Struthio camelus: one gene and its partner. The protein of the gene in region 2 interacts with the protein of the main gene of each other region in a biochemical or structural test. Links are inferred from orthologs where the notes say so. Each region holds a gene or a part of one and is shown on either strand. Other genes may lie near its edges.

What was found.
Region 1: of the proteins of RIGI (region 2) and RNF135, one has a biochemical effect on the other in vitro, tested with the Homo sapiens proteins (6 studies listed by BioGRID, with this or other methods). The link is inferred for Struthio camelus from reciprocal best matches to the Homo sapiens genes RIGI and RNF135.

What each region holds. Positions count from the first base shown.
Region 1 is NC_090960.1:5,020,739-5,024,646, reverse strand, and holds the start of RNF135 (E3 ubiquitin-protein ligase RNF135), read left to right. Parts: upstream 1-1,311; 5' UTR 1,312-1,689; coding exon 1,690-2,040; intron 2,041-3,142; coding exon 3,143-3,229; intron 3,230-3,781; coding exon 3,782-3,908.
Region 2 is NC_090982.1:9,800,757-9,804,664, reverse strand, and holds the start of RIGI (antiviral innate immune response receptor RIG-I), read right to left. Parts: upstream 2,763-3,908; 5' UTR 2,471-2,762; coding exon 2,365-2,470; intron 2,008-2,364; coding exon 1,876-2,007; intron 1-1,875.

The DNA of each region.
Region 1 (3,908 bases), on a different chromosome or scaffold from region 2:
AGAAATTATAGAAATAAAAGTCATGTTTGAATTGTAGAGGATACTGTAATGGACTCAATCTGATGACAAATACCCCTAGCTGCTTGCTTTTGGCAGTCTCTGCTATTTGACTCTTCTATAACTGGCAGATCTGACGTGTGAACATCAAATTTTTCCAAAGCAAAGCTGGATAGTGGGTGCCCCAACCAAGGCATTATGAGTTCAGGATGAAGATATGCTGACCTGTCCTACCTCCGGGAAGTCCAGCTGAAGCTTTGGGTTCTAGATTCACTTAATGAGTTGGTCTAATATGGGGACTGAAAGGCAGAAGCTACTTTTAAAAGTGTTATCTTCAGTGACCTGCTTGAAGACACTCGGTGAATAAGTACCAGCACTGGAAGTGGAGGGTGAATGCCTCCTGATCGGGTGCCACTTAATCTGTTCCATGCAGAAATTAGTGAAGATTTACATGGGCTGATACAGTGCACTGAGCTTTTTCTTGCTGGACAGAGTGTAAGGTTTGATTCTGCCAAGCAGCCAGTCATTCAGATATTTGATTCTTCTCTTTTATACTGCCTTAGTTTGCAAATCAAGCGGAAGTCTTGCAAACTAAGTTTCTGGTAAAGCTGTCACCTCTTGCTGATGCTTGCCAGCCAGTCTGAGATACCCAGAATAGTTCTCCTCTTCTGCAGAAATGAGGAAGTGCTGATATGTGCAGGGATTAGTGAGATTAACTTTGTATGTGTGTGTGTGCAATAGTGGGCAAAAATGATTTGAGTTGGATCTTCATTCTGCCTGTCTCAGCCAGCTCATCACCATCTCACCCTGAGCAATCTGCAGCAGGAGTTTTGCTTGCTTATACGCTCCCATAAACTCCCGTGTTCCCATTCTCGCCACACAGCCCAAATTCCAGTTTGTGGTGATTCAGCAAATCTTGTAGCAATCTGATCCAGCAGCCACCGAAATCAATAGCAAAGCACCTGCTGACTTGTATGAGGAAGAGTATCAGTCTTGGTTTGGTTTTACACACCTGAGTAACAGGGGATGATGCTCAGTAGGGAGCAGGCCACCCAGTAGCCTAAACTTCCTGGATGGTGCTGTGCTGGTCCCACTGAGCTGTGTTACTTGCTCTCCCAGACGGGTCAGTAGGCCAGCCCTGTCAGCAACTCTACTGAGACTTCTCTAACAAAACCAGGAAACTCCCTGAGAAAGTGAAATAGTGCAGATGCGACAACTTTTTTGCCAGAGTCAGTAAAAGTCAAGGCCGGATCACAGAGTGCTCTGCATGACAGTTCCTTTCTAAGTCAAACCAATTCATAGACCAGAGCTGCCAGAAGAGGGGAGTGCTGGGCCAGGCACTGAACTTTCCGGCTGCGCCCTGCGTCTTGGCCTGGAGTCTGTGGGAGCCTCCCGGCCCGTTTCTGCTCCATCCTGCCTGCCTGGGGTGAGCTCGGCAGCCTCGGCCCAGCTGTGGGGCCCAGCCGTGTGGGTGGACCCATCTCCACCGCAGCACAGCAGCCTCTCAGTGGAGCCAGCGTTAGAGGAGAGGCACCATCCTGCGGTGTCCTTGGCTCTCTCCCTTCGCTCTCGGAGGGGATACCCTGTCCCCACCATCCCATTGCCGTCTCCTGGCTTTCGCACACAGAGGGAGCCTCTGGGAAGGCAGGAGGAGGGGCGCCTGTGGGAACCGAAACTGAAACGCCAGAGATCATGGCGGCCTCTGTGGATCTCCGGCAGCTCCAGGCCAAGCTGGACTTGAAGTGCCCATGCTGCCTGCTGTACTTCACCGACCCCGTGCGGCTCGCAGGCTGCAGCCACAGCTTCTGCCGGTCCTGCATCACCACCTACTACTGCAAGGTGAAGAGGAGCGCCGGCTGTCCGCTCTGCCGCGAAGGCTTTGAGCTGAAGGACTTACGGCCCAACCGGGAGCTGGCCGTTCTGGTGAACTTGGTCCCCAGGGAGGAAAAGGAGAAAGAGTGGGAGAAAGAGGAGGAACCGGAACCGGCCAGAGCTGGCGCCTGGGGTGGCCAGCGCTCAGCAGGGCGGAGAGAAGCCGTGAAGGTATGGCCGGAGGCCGCCCGGGGATCCTGCTAGCGGCAGCCCCCTGGGACAGGCAGGGACAGCCCAGGGCTCCTGCCCTCACCTCCCCAGGAGATCCTGGGGCTCCTGCCCAGAGTAACCCCCAGGGATACCCTTCTGCAGGGCTGTGAAAATGGGGATGAGGCTGGAACTGAGTTAACTTCATCTGTTTTCTTGCATTTTTTTTTCCTTCTGGCTACTTTGCATTTCACATGCCAGTTTAGCATTCTCATAACAGTATCACATTGAGAGGGCTGCATATATGCAAAAGGGGTGCTACGAGAGGATGCTGGAGCACTACCTGTTGATCACCGAAGGGCTAGAGACTTTAGATGTCTGTAAATATATCTTCACTTGTTTTCTTTTTCTTTCTCTCCATCTCTGTTACTGTCTTTCGTTTCCGTCTCCATTTTTCACCATTGCCTTATTATTCCTCCAGTTAAAACTAGCAATGGGCAAACAGTGTAATCCCAGCGTGTGGTATCCCTCGCCTTGAGCGCTGAGCATCCTGGAAGACAGAGCGTTGCTTCAGTTGTTTTGTATCCCAGTCCCTGTCTGTTCTTTCCCTCCTCTTTTCATAAACATCTTTAAGCGGTGTTATTTATTGCACAGGCTTAGCTGGAGACAGCTAACTGAAACATAACATTATTTATACGGTGCTACAGCTCCCCCTAGCCAAACGGCACAAAATGCCTCTGGTTCATTATCTACGTCTCTGCTTAAAAAGAAAAAAACTTTAAACAACTCCCACATTTTGATGGAAGAGATGAGCAAAATCTGACTATTGACTCGCATTATTTTAGCACTATACGCACATACGTACACACACAAGACAGTTATCTTCAATCTCTGCAGTCAAGCAGAGGGCTTAAGCTCATAATGACATTTGAACATGTAATTGTTGAATGTTGACTTTGCTGTGATTATTCACACTCAGAATTAATTGTGAGCTCTACCCCGCTTTGAACCAGTCAGTGCATCGCTAATATCCATGATGTAGGGGGTTTTATTACTCTGCTGTATAACGTAGTCATGTTTTCTCTGAGTGTTATATAGATAAACAGTCCAATGTGTCACTTTAAAGGAGGAAGAGATAAGTGAGATCTCCAAGCAACTGGAAATGACTGAAGAGACCATCCGCCTCTTGAGGGAGGATCTCAGTAAAACAAAGGTATGGATGTGTACGTTCATTAACTGCAGTTAACTTCTGTTTCCACATCCACCTGGAGAACCTGACTGACACCAGTGCAGCCTTCTAGCCCAAAGCAGGGATTTCCTTTTCGTTTCCTTTTGCTCTCATACCTCTTTTTTTTTTTTTTTCTGCTGAGTGTGGACTATGGCACCAGCTGCGTTAACCCCTGCCTTAGCTGGCGCAAGGGCCACAGGAGTTGCATGTTGTTGTCTTTTTCTGCCTATCCCAGGAGCAGCCTGGATGCTTCTGGAACCCTTAGAGGCAAAAGGCAAGGCATGAAGAGGGAATATTGATCTTTGCGAAGATGCTGACCAAAGACTGCTGGCCATAAAACAGTCAAGATCCGTAACATGCTCAAAATCCGACTGCAAGCAATGCAGGACAGTGCAAACATGTTTTATTCCTTTAAATAAAGACAGCTGCTACTGGTCTGTAGACGTCAGTCAAAGTGCATTAGATGAAGCACTAGCTTCTCATATTACACACATCTTTTCTACAAACACAAAAAACTCCGTGTTTTCTGCCTTCCAGGAATATACATTTCAGATCAAAAGCCAGATTACTAAAGATTTCTGTTGCATGAAGGAATACATTGAAAGGCAGGAGAGAAACACACTGATGTTCATTGAACAAGAGCAACAAGCAACGCAACAGAAAA
Region 2 (3,908 bases):
CCTAAGCAACAATAGCAATCCCCTTCCTTTCACGTGCATCACCTTTGATTGCATACTCTTCTGTAGAATTTTAAGACACTGCTGCGAATCACAAACAGCTTCGGACCCCTTCTCTTTCATTTACCACCTGAAATTCCCATCCTCGCCTCCACCCCCTCCAATATTCCGTATCATTCTGCCTTCAGGTCAGTCCCAGACTGAGACAACTGCAGCCAAGGCATTCGGCAAAACAGCAAGCAGGGCACGGAGCAGAAAGCACCAAGGAAACATAATTAGAGGACTTACGTAATTTGCATTGCACAAAAGACAAGGCTTGAAAGTGCACAAAAGCAGGGCAGGGACCTAGAGAAACTGTGGGAGAGCAGAAGGAATTTGCTTAACTTTTTCTTTTCTTTTGGAGGAGCAGGAGGCAGTGGAGAGACTCGCCAACACAAAGTCTTTACTCGAATTATCAGCTGTCTCTGCATCTGTTGAATGCACGGTAATGCTAAATTCTAGTCTAAGGCCCAAGAGCAGTGGCAATACTTGCAAGGCAAGGTAAGAGAACAGCTATTTGGGATGGTGCTTGGAGTCACAGAGGGTTAACTTTATCAGTGTTTTCTGCTCAAGATACATCAAACTGAAGGCTACTAATGTACTTAAAAGAGACATTTTTGCAATTCAGAAATTAGCAGTAGAGCAGGCTGATAAGAAGCTGCCCTGGATCTAGACTTCGTTTTAAGGGGAGAGCGGAAGACATCCAACTGCTAGGAAAGCTTGTAACAATTTCTCACTGAGACACCATAATTAACTGTAGTGAAGAGTGAGTAAAAAAAGCAATAGTAGCTTATTGCATGGCCTTTGTGGGGTTGAAATATCTAACAAAGCATCAACCAGAACCTGTGGTAGAACCTGCATCTTGAGAAGAAAGCTGGCAAATCTTCACAATTTTGTATCTCCACAATCTTTTCTGTCACCTGTTGCAAAGGAAATTGCACTAGTACCTGACTCATCAAGCACTAAGAGCGACTGAGGGACTATTACCTAATTTCCAAACAGCTAAGAGCTACTTAGGTCTTAAAGCATAGGACTTCAAGACCTCTGAGCTAGTCTTTTTAAAAATATTTTCTAAATTAAAACCCTGGGGTTGAATGAAGCTATCGCATGCTACGAGTTAATACACACACATACCCTGAAGCCCCTCTTCCCCTCTTTTTTAAACATTCAGCTTTTGCTATCAGAGGATGCTTTTAATCAGACCTGATGAGAACTATGGCTCTCTCGCTCCTTCTCTAAACGCTCTGAGACAGAGTCTGCTGCTCTGGTGCTCTGACACAAACATTTCTTACATAAATGAGGCTTTATTGTGCATCCCTTCATCATTTTGTTCACTGTCTCCATCAGCCAGGTTGTTCTGCTACTTCTCATATGGGAATTTCCCTTTGTTTTCTGTGAGTTTTTCTGTCAATCTCAGGCAATCTTCTACTTTTTCCGAGCGTTTTTTCATCTGGTGTGACAAGATCTCAACAAACACAGTCAAGGTGCATCACTTTCCATCCTGTGTCGGCTGTGCAATAGCCTGCCCACATGCAAACAGCAGGTGACTGTTTGTGTTTCGGGGCTGCTTTTTTGTTTCGTTCCCAGTTTTTTTCCCCAAGAGAAACAGGGGAACAGGCAGCAGGAGCAAATAACTCTCCCGGCAGGTCAGGGTTAGTCTGAAATCTCTGCTCCACCCTCCAAGCGGCCCAGTCCGGCGGAGCAAAGACGGGCACCGCAGCAGTCGCAACCGCCCCCTCGACGGACCCCTGGGCATTGCTTTCCAGGAGAGGAGGAGCAGGCAGGGGACAGGGCGGAGCGGAGGGGACGACGCAGAGGGCCACGTCGGCGGGAACTCACCTGCCGCCGCCAGCGCGTTGAGGAAGCCCCTGAACCAGCCTTGGCTCTCGAGCTGCAGGACGACATCCAGGAAGAGCGTCGCGGCTGCCATCACCCCCTTTTCTTCCTCCTTCCGAATCCTCTCTCTGACCTCTGGCACAAAACCAAAACTTGGTCTGAATTAAGACCAAAAAGAAAAAAAAAAAAGAAGTGCCAGCGCGTAGCTGGATGCAGGGGGGCTGCCCGGTCCCAGCCTGCGGCGGGGCGCGAAATCCTTCACCTCCCAGGGGCCGACACCGGGCGCAGACAACAAGCGGCACCGGGCGGCCCCGTCCCCCCGGGGCAAGGCTGCAGAGCCAAGAAACCCCCTTCCCCTACCCCAAGGAAAGCAAAACCGAGGGGAGGGAGGCTACACCAGGCGGGGGGGGGGGGGCGCCCACCCCAGCCCCGTCGCGACCCTGCGTGGCCCCGGAGCCGGCCCGGCTCCCACCACCCCAACCCCGCACCTACCGTCAGAGAGCCAGTCGGTCATGTTACCCAAGATGTAGAGCGGGTTGAGGGTGCTCTCGATGAGCCGCCGGTAGCACCGCAGGCTCCACTTCTCCACCGCCGTCATGGCCCGGTCGGTTTTTGCCGGAGCCGTCGGGGCGCAGGGGAAAGGGGGCAGCCCCCTGGCCCGGCAACGCGGAGGGGGAGCGGGGCGGGCGGAAAAGGCGGCCGAGAGCCGCGGAAACGAAACTCAACCGGGCCGGCGGCAGAAAGGAAACCGAAAGCCGCCGGCCCGTCGGGGGCGGGCAAGGGAGGCCACCCCGGGGCGAGAGCCGCGGAGCCGCTGCCCGCCCCCGCGTTATCCCCCTCCTGCCTCTTCTTCCTCCCGGCTTCCTTTCAGCAGCTGCCTCCCGCATTTCACCAGACCGGAAAATGACTTTCTAAAGGCAGGCGGGGCCCCCGAGGTGCCCCCCCCCCAGCACCTGGGCAGCGTTAGGGTCGCTCGAGGGGGTCCAAGCGAGAAGGGGCCAGCACGCTGCAGAAGGGACACTGAGCTTCATAACGGCACACGCAACCCCCCCCCCCCCCTCCCCAAAGTGTAGAGCAGATGTGGCCAGCTGTTCACAGCTTTATCAATCGTATGTTCAGCCTCGGTCACTGCTGAGACCTGGCCCCACAGGTGACGCTCGCTGTCTGAAGTCGCAGCTGCACGATACCGCTCAGCACCGGGCCCGACCTGGCAGGATGGGGAGGGGGAGGCAGAAATGCACTGTGCTGCAGCTGCTTCTGGCGCTGCCGATACCCCTCTGTACCTCCCGCGACTCTCGGCTGGACCACGAAGTCATATGCACCTGGTGCAAGAAAATCTCCTGTTCCTTCAGGCACTTTCGTTTTTTTCCAGCATGTCTCTTTAGATGGAGGAGAAGGACAAACCCTTCTCACCCTGCAGAAGAGGAGCTTGCTACATACAGCTCATTCAGCAGCACCTCTGCTTTTTCAACCCCCTCCCCCCCCAAACAGGAGACCACCCCCTGTGGTGTCGTTCTGTGTGGGCTAAGAACGACCTAAGAACTTTCTGCAGCAGGTAGGAAGGCTTTGCTGTTCTGTATTTCTGCATCTTATTTTCTAAAAGGCGTGAAAAATAATTATCATGCCATTGGCACGGCGTTTTCTACTCTGTTCAAGTCCAGCTTTACTCTGAACTCTTTCTCTCTAGTCTGCCTTCGCCTGTTTGACCCAGTGCTAAAGGGACTGCACGACATCTTTTTTTAAACATACTCTGTATCATCGTGGTGTAGCATCATTGTTCTTTCAAAGAGCCCTAGGCTAGCAAAGACTTGCATTTGGACTGTTGACCTTAACACTATGCAATGAAATGAACCAGGGGAAGGCCACACTCAGCTGACCAATCCAAAGAAAAGATGTTGCTGGAGCAATGTCAAGCAACTGGGAGAAGACACCTTCCTCAGCAAAAAAAAAGAGGTGTGTGCCAGCCCTAAGTGGCAGCATGATTCATCGCTCTATTCTTTGTATGTTGTCCCGTCCTCTGAGTGAGGCAGGAGCTC